Linked DNA regions of Nothobranchius furzeri. The protein of the gene in region 2 interacts with the protein of the main gene of each other region in a biochemical or structural test. Links are inferred from orthologs where the notes say so. Each region holds a gene or a part of one and is shown on either strand. Other genes may lie near its edges.

Region 1 (4,144 bases), on a different chromosome or scaffold from region 2:
GGAAACCCCAAGCAGTGAGGTGGTAGAAGGAATAATAAATAAATAAAACTTAAAAAATTTAACAATAATGAACAGATTCATACTTCTGCTTGATTTTCTGTCCCAATGGTGGCTGCCAAGGTTCTGCAGACATCTGTGACCCTCTGCTTCCTCAGCAGCACAGCACTCTCATGAATCTCAGCCACAGACAGTAAAAAACGGAACAGCAGGCAAACAGATTCAGTAACTTCTGACCCCAGTTTAACTCCTGCCCCTCCAAGAGCACAGACACACTCAAACATCTGTGAGAGGTAGATGGACTCAAAGTCAGAGGGAGAAATGTGGGACGACTGAAACAAACAGCGGGTTAAGTTGATCAGCTCTCCTCCATAGGGTTGGCTCTCGTTTGAGTGTTTTGCTGCGGATGTGTCGGAGTGCGTTTCCAGCAAATGAAAAAAGGCCGTGAAAAATTTGTGACACTGCATCTCGGGAAACCTCTGCAGCTCTACCAGTTTCCTCAGCAACACCATGGAGACCTTCCTCAGCCTGGTGTTGCCGTTAGCCAAGATGGAGCATGCCGTGTCCCAAGACAAACTCAGGTCCCGACAGGAAATGATTCCTCTCAGAGAGTCACTTGTGATACTGAGAGTCACAGCAGTCAGCGACTCCAAGGCAGCAGGAGAGGAGAGTAGAAGGAGAGTAGGGGTGAGGTAGACGGAGGCACGAATGGAACTGATGCTGAAGCATTGAAGCTTCACAGGCCATCTGTCCTGGATGTGTGCACCCACACTGTGTCCAGGTCCTGCCAGTGTCACTATGTGAGTGTGCAGGATGCTGCTAAGCTCCTGGGTCAATGATATGACTTCTTCGGTGAGGCAGCTGAAGATGAACGGCATCCTGACTCTTAGAGTGTGTAGTAAAGAGCACAATACGGCAGAGACGCGCCCGTGAATGACATCACAGCCTGGAGCTGCTGCCACACGAAGCAAATGCAGCATCACCCATTTACTGAAATCTGAAATCAAGGCAGAATATGAAGAAAAAGACAATGTTATGTTTTTGGCTTCTTCATAATGTGTGAAACTTTTCAACAATGTGTCGTTTAGTACCAGTGCAGCTCTGTACGGTGTCTGGGTAATCAGCAGGTTGGCAGGCAGGATTTGCAAACATCAGGGACGAGGATTTGACGATGTGCTGCACAAAGTCAAGCAGCATCACACATGCTGGCTCTGAACTGGACTTTTTATTTAGTCCTAAAGCAACTTAAAAAAAGAGAAGAGGGCTGTGTTTAACAAGTCTGGAAATCAGAAACATCTCTGAGTGATATTAGAAAAAAATTACAAAAGGATTTTAGAAAATAAACACACACATCTAAAAAAACAAAATGACAATCAGATGTTACTCTCTTAACATAGGTACATAACTGACATGATGTGGGTTTATTTTTACTTCTGAAGATTTTTGACTGATAGTTTTGCAGGTTGTGTTCCAAGATGTAAAAAACAAAAATGACCAGAATATACAGACAAATATGGTTTTCAACCCTTACAACCAGTACTTGACTAAAGAGCAAGTAACCCCCTACCAGAGTCTAACTCCTCTCCCATTTCCTGTTTGAAAAGTGCACCACAAGGACAGGCCTGGCAGACCGAAAGGGCAGAGCCTCTAACACACACACACACACACACACACACACACACACACACACACACACACACACACACACACACACACAGCAGCGTTGTGATATCATAATATACCAGCTAATGTCATAGGGTACCTCTTAACCAATAGCAACGGCAGATGTAAATTCAAATGCAGTGCAGTTTTTACCTGAAGAGGAAGCAACACGGAGTTTTAGGCAGAATATTACAACTTTAATTAAGATGGACTAAGGTGCCAAATTATCCACTGATTCCCCTCTTTCCTATTCATTTTCTCTTTCCCTTTCCTTGCACTTTTAATCACAATTCTAAACTTTTTTCTTCTTCTAATTTTAACCATATTTTCACGATTTTTGGCATTCTGAATTTTTTTGTTCTTGTGAAAGGCCTCAAGATTTTTATCTTGAGAGGCGCTAAGTAAAAGATAATTTTCTTTTTTTCTTTCTTTTCTTACTTGCTTTTTAAATGAATGAATAAATGACCACTATAAAGTTAACAGTTTGTAAAACATTTGGTTTATGTATGCGATGCATTTTTTATTTACTTGTTTCCATTAGGTTTATCAAAAATTGTTTAATACCTGTTCAGGTACAAGGGTCACTCCCCACCTAAGAGCACGTGCTAAAATTATTATTAAAACTAATAACCTTATAAGATCTAAAGGAAAAATAAAGGAAAACGAGCTTTTATTTGGCGCTGAATGGTCTCTGTTGGTTCGGTTTTTGTCCCCCGTTAGTAATGACTTACCGACGTCCACGTCAGTCAGTATCCTGTCAATAAACTGGCAGAGGATCTGTCGAGGTTTCTGCACGGCTGTTTCGTACTCAGCAGCGCTGGCACTGCAAACAGATAAACGATGTAACTTATAAAAAGAGTGATAGTTAAAGAAATAAAGTGAAGCCTCAGTAACAAACAAACGATTAGCCACTTAGCTTTTGGCTAACACTACTCACCTAGCTAGCTCTTGAAGAGCAGGAATCATCGCAGACATTTCAAGCCCGTCCATTTTTCCTCGTCTGCTTATAGTGTCGTCGTTCAAAGCTTCTTTAAGGTACTACTAGTGAGATATAACAGGTTATTTTAGCCAGAGTGCAAGTCAAATAGCTGCCCATCGTGCCAAACGCTTTCGAAAAGTTTCGCTCCAAACTGACGTAGTTTGTTTTCATACGGCACGCACGAAGGCCCAAAATACCAAACAAAAACTCAAAGCCTTCCGAAATTCTCCTGATAAAAAGATTAAAAAGCATGATAGATTGAATAAACCAACGTGTGTTCACATGTCCGGTTCATTTGAGCTAGGCTCTGAAAGAACAGGTGGTATTACAACTCTGCAAATATAATTTTTATGTTTAGTAATCTTTATTTTAAAGTAAAAAAATATCCTGAAAACAAAACAGTGAATTAATGAAAGGAATAAGTTCTGGGATGAAAATTATGTATGCCGTGCACTGTTTTGACATCATGGTTTATTATTGTCTGCAGTGCAGGTTCACTCAAGGTTGTTTTTATAGTTGCAGGCATTCTGCCATTGTGCTGCGTCTGTTAAAAGAGGAAGATATAGGGAGGTGGGCAGAATTATGAAAAGTTCTTGTACTTTGCTTTTGTCATCATGTGCCTGTGTCTTGTTGGACTGTAATCCTTGGTTCTGGGCTCATTCTGTGATCTTCATAGAGCGAGACCCAAACACTATTTATGCCTTTGGTAATAAATAATATGAAAACACATAAGTTCTATCTCTTTATTGTGTAATTCACAAGTTCGGTGAAACATTTCCACCACAGTTCTCAAAACATATATAGATGTTATATATAAAACTAATTAAAGAAATTCCTGTTTGAACGTTTGAGTGCTTGTTTGTCTAAATAAGCAGAAGCTACGAATGATCTGAGACAAGAAATTTACTGAAAAGAAATCATTGACAGACAGAAAACACACCAAAGCAGCCGGAATCTCGCAATAAAAAAAGAATTCACATATTTTTTAATTTCTGTTTTATTAGGCAATATAAACGTGTCAGAGGCAGATATTTTCTCACTAAGTATTGCATTACTTTTTATTAACATTAATATGAAGCCGTTGTTAATGCTTTATTTAATAGCTTATTAATAATACTAATAATGCACATTACGTTAATAAAGGACCCTTATTGTAAAGTGTTACCCGATAAATGTACAATGTATAGTTTAACTGTTGTTTTTAGGGTTATAAATAATTCTAAAGCATTTGTAAATGCTTAAATATTGATTATTTGTAATAAATTATATATATAGTACCTAATACCTTGTAAATGGTCATTTAATAACTTACTAAACACTTATAAACTTATTTGTAAACATAATCACAATCCTTTATAAATTTCTTCGATATGAGTAACTTGAACAGTATCCTTAACTTATTCACAAGACACCAAGAGCCCTCTGAGGACACAAGACTTTTGATCTAATCCTTTTAATAAAGTTTGCTTTTTTGGCTCATAAAATCTTTACTTGACAGGTTGTTAC
Region 2 (4,181 bases):
ATGGACCTCAAGGGATAAACCATCAACCCTGCTCAATAGTCAACTTCCCTCGCGGGGTCACCCGTAAAGACAGTGGAAGGGTTATATCACCATTTATAATCATTTCTCCTGCGTCATCCTAGTATTAGAAATATAGTAATAAATAGATTTTTATAAACTACATTTTTGCCTCTGTGTCAAATTATTATAAGGTTTTGGTTCCCTGGCATATCCAAAGTACCTAGTTTCATCATCAATCAAATATTAAAGGTTCAATAACATTGCTAATCCATATTTTTATTGAATACTTTTATATTTAGTTGAAATTTTATTAAAAGTAACCACTTCATAACATTCCACCTCTCAATGTCACTAACACACCCTCAAACACTTGAGCTTTGTTGACATGTTGAGTTATTTATTGATGAAACACTAGAAAGAACCAAACTGGAATCTCGATTGTTTTTCTTCTCATTCTACATGAGCTAAGCAGGTAATTACGTAAATTTTCTTCTTGATCACCTGGAAGATTAATCTCATATGTATAATAAGAGGTTAGTCACTGAAAGAAAAAGTATATCCTTTACTGATATTGTCTCAGTTTGGTGCTTGGATGTTTTCAACCGCGCATCATATCATCTTTGTGTCTCTTGTGGCTGATCTACATTTAACACAGATGTATGATGTTGAGGTTTCCAACTCTGAGATGCTTTCTCTCACTCTCTCTACTGGACACGCCTGGTAACAGCTCATCCGTCTGATACATATTTTACACACTTAGATTTTTAGATAATAGCTGTCAAAAACAACACATTTCATTTCATGGACTGAACACATTTTTGAGCCCTTTTCCCAAAAAAATTATCCACTCACAAAGGATCGGTCTAGATCTCTATTCCTCCAGGATTTAGCAAAGAATTTTTCTGTTCAGTTTCTCAAACAGAAGGTTGGAAAATCACACTCCATCCATTTACTGTCAGTGTTTGGTTTTAGGAATTATGTTCCTAAAACAAGCTGTTTCAAAAAGTCCCTGTTTGTGATGTCACAAACAATAAATAAACAAATGGTGCAAAGTTGCGCCATATCACACTTTTGAAATTCATACGACAATTCATGGACAATGTGCACAACAGAATGGGTATTATAGCGGCATATTTTATTCTACATGGCAGATAAAAACGTCCTACAATGCAAGTGTGGTCTGTAAAATGTATATCTGCATGTCCTGTGCTGAGTATGCTTTGACCTACAGTCCTTTGTGTGCAGGCAGCAGCGGCTTTCATTCATTAATCTTTGAACAGCTCAGGGAGAACCAGGTGGATGATTGGGTGCTGTGTACTATTTCACCAGAGGGGGGCGGAAGTGTGCGCTTGCTGTAGGTTTCCTGCAAAAGCGTAGAAGAAAAAGAGGAAATGACGCAATGTCTCCGGTAAAACAACAAGGCGCCAAATTTGTGCCCCTTTATCACAGATGCACATCCATGGCGGAGTTAGAATAAATGTGTTTTGTGACTCGTCACATGTGGGAAACGCAGCTCAGGGAAAAGGCGGTGGAGGTAAGACAGTCACATGAATCATCGCTGAACAGATATGGAGGCATCGTGACATTAGCGCTGCTTCACATCCTGCAAACGTTAAAGTTTGGCGCTGTTTGTCTTTAATGATGAGTTTTTTTTATACACGTTACATACGTGTTGTGTGTTTTGTGTTTACTGAAGCATCATGGCGGTGCCTTTTGTCCAGGACTGGGACCTCGTTCAGACTCTGGGAGAAGGAGCATATGGAGAGTAAGAACATCATATATATAGTTCAGTAGCTGCTGGGCTAAATGCTGCACCAAACCTTAATGCAGGTTAAAGTCGAGCTGCGTTTTTCTTTACTCAAGCTACTTTTGTTTAATAATTAAGTTCTGGTTAAATGCACGTTGTAATTCACACCATCCAATCCAATTTTATTTATAAAGCGCATTCACAAGGCATTACAACCAAACAAGGCGCTGTACACTAAAAATGTTGGTTAATTAAACAGGCGTTATATAAACATGTCGAACACAGATAAAAGATAAAAAGGAAATACAACAAAATTCCCAAAAATAACAGCTAAAAATCATTAAGACACAGGGTGAAGTAAAAATAGGAAAAAAAAAAAACATCACCTTTATCAGATGTGCACCGGTTGTGATTTTGTAGGCCGATATCTGCGGCATTTACTGATCTTAAAGAAAAGGGCTGATGGTGAGTTCATGGACCAGTCATTTCTATTGCGTTCACTCATCCGAAAAGTAGAGTTTTGGGTTGGTCAATCACCAGTTTAGCTAATCAGGCTGACATTTGTCCGGTTCCGGTGCGTTTCTAGTTTTTGTTTTACTCCAAAAGTCTGTTCTATTTTCTTTCTTATAGAAATTCTGATTTATTTCTCTTTTTGTTCTGAACCATGCTCTTTCAGAGTGAGGCTGCTGGTGAACAGACACACTGAAGAGGCAGTGGCAGTGAAAGTCGTCGATACCTCTCAGTCTAAAGAGTGTGCAGACAACGTGAAAAAGGAGGTCTGCGTCCATAAGGTACCTGTCTTACTGAGCTGCAGAAAACACATTTACCTTCTTCTGAGGATTTTTAAGTCAAACACTTCTGTTCTGATTTTAGAAATAAACAAAGTGTGCTGGTTCAACGTTTGAAATCAGTGATAGGGCCGCACAATATATCGTAAATATATCGTTATCGCGATATCAGCATGTGCAATATGCATATCGCAAAGAACAGATAAATATTGCAATGAATGGTCAGCTCAAATGTTTCGTCTTCATCTTCCTCCGCTTATTCGGGTCCGGGTCAAATGTTTGCTACACATAATGCGTTCTGTCAATCAAACGGAAGTGTGATGTTTTTTTAACAAATAAAACAGCTTTTCACCCATTTGGCCAATTGGATGGGTTCTCATAGGTTAGATGCCCGCCCCCGAGGCGGACGGCACTTAATTTTGATGGTTAGCAAACACCTTAAGTTAGCTTTTTTCTGCTCTTTTTGCTGATTCTGCTTTTCCCGGGTTCCACTGATTGTCTTTTCTTCACATCTTTTGCTTTTGTCATTTTGAAGAAATTTTTTGTCATTTTTAAAATTTATTTATATATATATTTTTTTTTATTATTTTAGTTCCTGAGTTAAGTTATTATTTATTGCAAGTAATATCATCATCGCAATATTAATCACTATCGGACATTGCATGTTTTCCTAATATCGTGCAGCCCTAATCAGTGATTAAAAATACAACCTTGTTCTTTGTCAGATGCTCAACCATCCCAACATTGTGAAGTTTTTTGGGCATCGGAAAGAAGGAGCGACTGTTTATCTGTTTCTGGAGTACTGCACCGGAGGAGAGCTGTTTGACCGGATCGGTAAAACACTGCGGGCTCTCTGATAAAACTGTATTTTTGCAGCAGACTGTTGGTGTCTGTGAAGTGCAGATCAGTTTATTATCTTAACTAGTTCCTGCCTAACTCGAGTTCTTGTCTTTCTGGTGTTTTAGAGCCTGATGTGGGAATGCCAGAGAGGGATGCTCACAGGTTTTTCCAGCAGCTAATGTCAGCTGTGGTGGGTGAATGTTTGTGTTGTTTGCCTGATTCGGGCTCTTTTTTTATTCTTTTATTTGCTTCTTCTCAGGAGTACCTCCACAGCCTTGGCATCACCCACAGAGACATAAAGCCCGAAAACATTTTGCTGGATGACAAAGGTGGGCAAATAGAGTGCCACAGTTTTTTTTTAATGATTTCTCATAACCATGCATCATTTTTTTTTATCTTCTAACCTTTAGACAACTTAAAGCTGACTGATTTTGGCCTAGCCACCATGTTTCGGTTCAAAGGACGTGAGCGCCAGCTGAACCGACTCTGTGGGACTCTTCCCTACGTTGCTCCAGAACTTCTCAGCCAATCAGAGTATAGTGCTCAGCCTGCAGACATCTGGGCTTGTGGCATCGTCCTGACGGCCATGCTAGCTGGAGGTGAGATCCCACACGGTCCAGGCACCCGCTGTCTTTCAGGGGGTTTTAGTGTAACAGACTAATCATCCCGATCAATGCTCTATACTTTCATAATTTGAATTAATAACTTAAAGGCGACATATTATGCAAAATCGAACTTTTGTGCTACCATGTGGGTCTCGACTGGCTCTGTAAACTCTCCAAACATGGAAAAAAAATCCATCCATC
Region 3 (4,165 bases), on a different chromosome or scaffold from region 2:
CATTTTGCAGGTCTGTGTCATCCTGATAGCCCATTATGTCGCTCATCTCAGCTCCTCTCCAGCAGCGAGACGGGTGTTGCCGTAAACTATCGTGTAAACGCGCACTTCAATTGTAGGTGCGGCTCACTTGACCGCAGTCTGATTTTGCCCCAACATGCAGCAGAGTGGAACAGAATCAGAGTTTCTCCCTGCTTTATTGATGACTGCTTTTTTTTTTACACAAACATTAATGGTGCAGCGTTGAGGTCCTGCAACAGCTGATGCTCTGTTCTCGAATTGTTGACCTGGTTTTGCTCAGCTGCAAGACTGAGTGGAGCTTGTTTTCAACAAAGACTCAAGTATTTCTGCTCACATCATCCCAGCCAATCAGAGCCTACCTGCAAAGCTTCTCAGCCAATAGGAGGCTCAGAAATCCATCCTCCTCCTCCTGTCCTGCAGCATTTCAGTGACTCATAAGAAACATCTCAGGACTTCGCCCAAATCACAGAATAGTCCTGGTTGTGGTTCTACAACAGATTCAGTGAGATCCTTTCAAAGAGCCAAATATCACAGAACTCAACTAACAGTTTCAACTCATTAATTATATTAGTCATGGCTCTAAAAAGGTCCTCGTCTTTGTATGACCTGCATGCCAAGTGAATCAAATGAAACAATAACCAATGGATGGTTTTGTATTATTATGAATAACACTAATAGTGTTATTTCTCTTGTGATGAACGTAGTGATATTAATTCATAAGTTTAGCCGTGGTCTTATTATTATTATTATTATTATTATTATTATTAAACATGCTATCTATCTATCTATCTATCTATCTATCTATCTATCTATCTATCTATCTATCTATCTATCTATCTATCTATCTATCTATCTATCTATCTATCATCTATCTATCTATCTATCTATCTATCTATCTATCATCTATCTATCTATCTATCTATCTATCTATCTATCTATCTATCTATCTATCTATCTATCTATCTATCTATCTATCTATCTATCTATCTATCTATCTATCTATCATCTGTCTGTCTGTCTGTCTGTCTATCTGTCTGTCTGTCTGTCTGAACTAAGCAGTTATTTGTAAAATAATCCACCCAATTTCCGAAACTCTTGAAGAAATTGAACGCATACTATCTACGTCACGAACACCACACAAGGAGGGTTTGTTTGTTTATCTCTGCGGCTCAGGCCGCTGAAGGGTGGTATCTACCGAGACCATCCGAGACACCGCAGATTCAGCTGCTAGTCAGCGACAAAACCGAACAAATCGTAAAGGAAGACCCGCCCCTTGAAATCTGGTCAGCCAATGAGAAAGACCAGCATCGGCATTCTCTTTGAATATTCATATTCATTCGCGGGCTTTGAGCTCCACGTGGTCGATTTCGCGCGAAAAGGGACAACCGGGCAGGAAGAAGAAGCAGCGTCGTCCACTGAAGCAGCAGCAGCTCAGTTCAGCAATGGCGGTGAGTTACAGTAAAGCCGTGAAAAACAACAAAAACGGGCTTTAATTAGGTTTTATTGCTTAAACGAAAGAAGATGCCGTTTATTAACTCCAGTTTATCGCTGTAGTTTTTGCTGACTTATCTCGTTTGTGGAAACAAGCACACAAAGACTTTCACTGTTTAAGAATCCGAACTTTTCTTTTGGAAATCAGGATTAGTTTTAGATGTTTTAATGCAGAATCGTGACCGACAACGATGCTGACGAGTGTTTTATTTAGTTTTACGTTATTAGAAACAATAATTATGGTGTTTGTAACGGAGAGCTGCCATGTGGCAGCTTCAGTTTGTCTGATTTTTATGCATTCAAGTCGAGTTTTTGAGATTTAAACGTATAGAAAGTCCAGATTATCTCACGTAAATCAGCCGAAAATCTCCTTTAGTTACAACAACACAGAAGTGACTGATCGTGTCCTCATGTGGCCTTTTCTTTATTTAACAACTGTTTAATAAAGTGGTCTCCTTTAAAAATAGCTGAAGACTCACTTGTTCATGCTGGCTTTTGTATGACCTTCTTCACCACTCTCTTTATTCTGCTCTCCCCACCTATTCCACCTTCCTCAGGATCCACTGATTTCCCTCTTTCCTATTCACTCCCTCTCTTTCTTAACATTTTTTTAATCACAATTGTCTATTTATGCTCATTTTAAATATATTGTTAAACATTTTCTAAATGCTTTTTTATATTTTTACATTTTTTATCTTCAGAGGCGCTATAGAAATGATACTTTCTTCTTCTTCTTTACTCTGAGCTGTTTCTTGTCTGCTGTACGCAGATTATTCATCAGGGAAAACATTTCCCTTGTTATTTCGGATTATTTAAAATTGCACCAAGAGGTTCTTCTATACCCAGAAACCCGTTATTGTAATCTTTCAAAATAAAACAAATTAAGACAACTAACAATAACTCAAACTAAACTTAGTTTGGTTTTATACAGTAAACGTTAAAATGCTCCACTGAAAAGCTCTTGAGCTGTTTGATGTTCTGGTCATTTAGTTTTTTCTTTTTATCTAATTAAGACATGGGGGGGGGGGGGGTTAAAACAAAATTTCTGCACTTTAGTTTATTTTGTTTAACATTACGATTGCACCCTCCAATTGCCTGCAAGGGTTACCGATCAGCCCGTTTGGAGATGTAACTGTTGTTGTTGACAGGATTCCTCTGAGTCGTTCCACGTGATCACCAGCCCCAACCGACCCTCCAGGAGAGGAGACCTGACCTCCAGCCCAGGACGGGACCTGCCCCCATTTGAGGATGAGTCCGAGGGGCTGCTTGGGGACGGACCCCTGCCTGGGGGTCTGGAGGAGGAGGAGGAGGCAGACGGGGAGGATCTGATTGGAGATGGGATGGAGAGGTGAACACCAGTTTGTGAGATCAGAAGCTTGTTTGGAAGCTTCATAATGATAAGTGGATCTACTCTTCCAGAGATTACCGCCCCATTCCGGCACTGGACCAATACGAGATGGAGGGCTTGGATCTGGATGACGAGGATCTGTCGGAGCTGTCGCCGGGAGCTCGAGCCGCTGCCGAGGAGGCGATGAGGAGGAGGGACCGGGAGCAGGGCCTCAGTGGACGTCTGAGGAGAGGACTCCTTTATGGTGAGGATGGAGATGAGCGGACCCATTTCTGGAGAACGGCTTTAATCCAATTGAATGAAAACACTGAAAGTGTTGCCTTGTTGCTGTTTTCAGACAGCGAAGACGAGGACGATGAGCGTCCTGCCGCCCGGCGAAGACGTCTGGCTGAGCGCGCCGCTGAGGGCATCGCAGATGGAGATGAGGAGGAGATGATCGAGAGCATCGAGAACCTGGAAGACATGAAGGTTTGTGGAGCTCTTTCAGGCCTCTCTACCGTCACATTGGGTTTTTAATCCCCTCCCGTCCTTCAGGGACACACGGTGAGGGAGTGGGTGTCTATGGCAGCTCCGCGGCTCGAGATCTACAACCGCTTCAAGAACTTCCTTCGGACCCACGTGGACGAGAATGGCCACAACGTGTTTAAGGAGAAGATCAGCGACATGTGCAAAGGTAGCTGAGATCTCTGCTACGGAGGAACGGTGGTGGAGAGGAGTTGAAAAACCTTAATCCTGCTTTTTGTCCCGATGTCTCAGAGAATAAGGAGAGTCTGGTGGTGAACTACGAAGACCTCGCTGCCAGGGAGCACGTTCTGGCCTATTTCCTCCCAGAAGCTCCAACGGAGATGCTGAAGGTGAGTTTTTATCATCGTGGAAGTCAAAATATAATTAGGACTTTTTCTAATGAACCCAAACATTTCTCTTGTCAGATTTTTGATGAAGCAGCCAAAGAAGTAGTTCTCACCATGTATCCAAAATACGACCGCATCGCTCACGAGATCCACGTCCGGATCTGTAACCTGCCGCTGGTCGAGGAGATTCGATCGCTCAGGTAGCGCAGCTTCCAGGCTCTTAAACATCTCCGCGATGCTGTTAAAGTCCTGTGTTGTTCACAAACGTTCTTCTGCTCTGGTCCTCAGGCAGCTCCACCTGAACCAGTTGATCCGGACCAGCGGCGTGGTGAGCAGCTGTACCGGAGTCCTGCCTCAGCTCAGCATGGTTAAATACAACTGTAACAAGTGCAGCTTCGTGCTCGGACCCTTCTTCCAGTCCCAGAACCAGGAGGTGAAGCCAGGATCCTGCCCGGAG

The links. The genes of interacting proteins can lie anywhere in the genome.
Region 1: of the proteins of chek1 (region 2) and atr, one has a biochemical effect on the other in vitro, tested with the Homo sapiens proteins (7 studies listed by BioGRID, with this or other methods). The link is inferred for Nothobranchius furzeri from reciprocal best matches to the Homo sapiens genes CHEK1 and ATR.
Region 3: the proteins of chek1 (region 2) and mcm2 form a complex in vitro, tested with the Homo sapiens proteins (2 studies listed by BioGRID, with this or other methods). The link is inferred for Nothobranchius furzeri from reciprocal best matches to the Homo sapiens genes CHEK1 and MCM2.

The regions. Positions count from the first base shown.
Region 1 is NC_091758.1:22,151,821-22,155,964, reverse strand, and holds the start of atr (serine/threonine-protein kinase ATR), read right to left. Parts: upstream 2,802-4,144; 5' UTR 2,650-2,801; coding exon 2,597-2,649; intron 2,483-2,596; coding exon 2,391-2,482; intron 1,242-2,390; coding exon 1,089-1,241; intron 995-1,088; coding exon 84-994; intron 1-83. UniProt on the Homo sapiens protein: Serine/threonine protein kinase which activates checkpoint signaling upon genotoxic stresses such as ionizing radiation (IR), ultraviolet light (UV), or DNA replication stalling, thereby acting as a DNA damage sensor.
Region 2 is NC_091750.1:44,931,980-44,936,160, reverse strand, and holds the start of chek1 (serine/threonine-protein kinase Chk1), read left to right. Parts: upstream 1-1,380; 5' UTR 1,381-1,477; coding exon 1,478-1,534; intron 1,535-1,696; exon of another isoform or gene 1,697-1,700; coding exon of another isoform or gene 1,701-1,721; coding exon 1,722-1,765; intron 1,766-2,423; coding exon 2,424-2,538; intron 2,539-3,260; coding exon 3,261-3,369; intron 3,370-3,500; coding exon 3,501-3,565; intron 3,566-3,634; coding exon 3,635-3,704; intron 3,705-3,785; coding exon 3,786-3,974; intron 3,975-4,181. UniProt on the Homo sapiens protein: Serine/threonine-protein kinase which is required for checkpoint-mediated cell cycle arrest and activation of DNA repair in response to the presence of DNA damage or unreplicated DNA.
Region 3 is NC_091743.1:72,011,667-72,015,831, forward strand, and holds the start of mcm2 (DNA replication licensing factor MCM2), read left to right. Parts: upstream 1-1,364; 5' UTR 1,365-1,460; coding exon 1,461-1,466; intron 1,467-2,657; coding exon 2,658-2,857; intron 2,858-2,928; coding exon 2,929-3,101; intron 3,102-3,194; coding exon 3,195-3,325; intron 3,326-3,391; coding exon 3,392-3,530; intron 3,531-3,613; coding exon 3,614-3,711; intron 3,712-3,786; coding exon 3,787-3,908; intron 3,909-3,996; coding exon 3,997-4,165. UniProt on the Homo sapiens protein: Acts as a component of the MCM2-7 complex (MCM complex) which is the replicative helicase essential for 'once per cell cycle' DNA replication initiation and elongation in eukaryotic cells.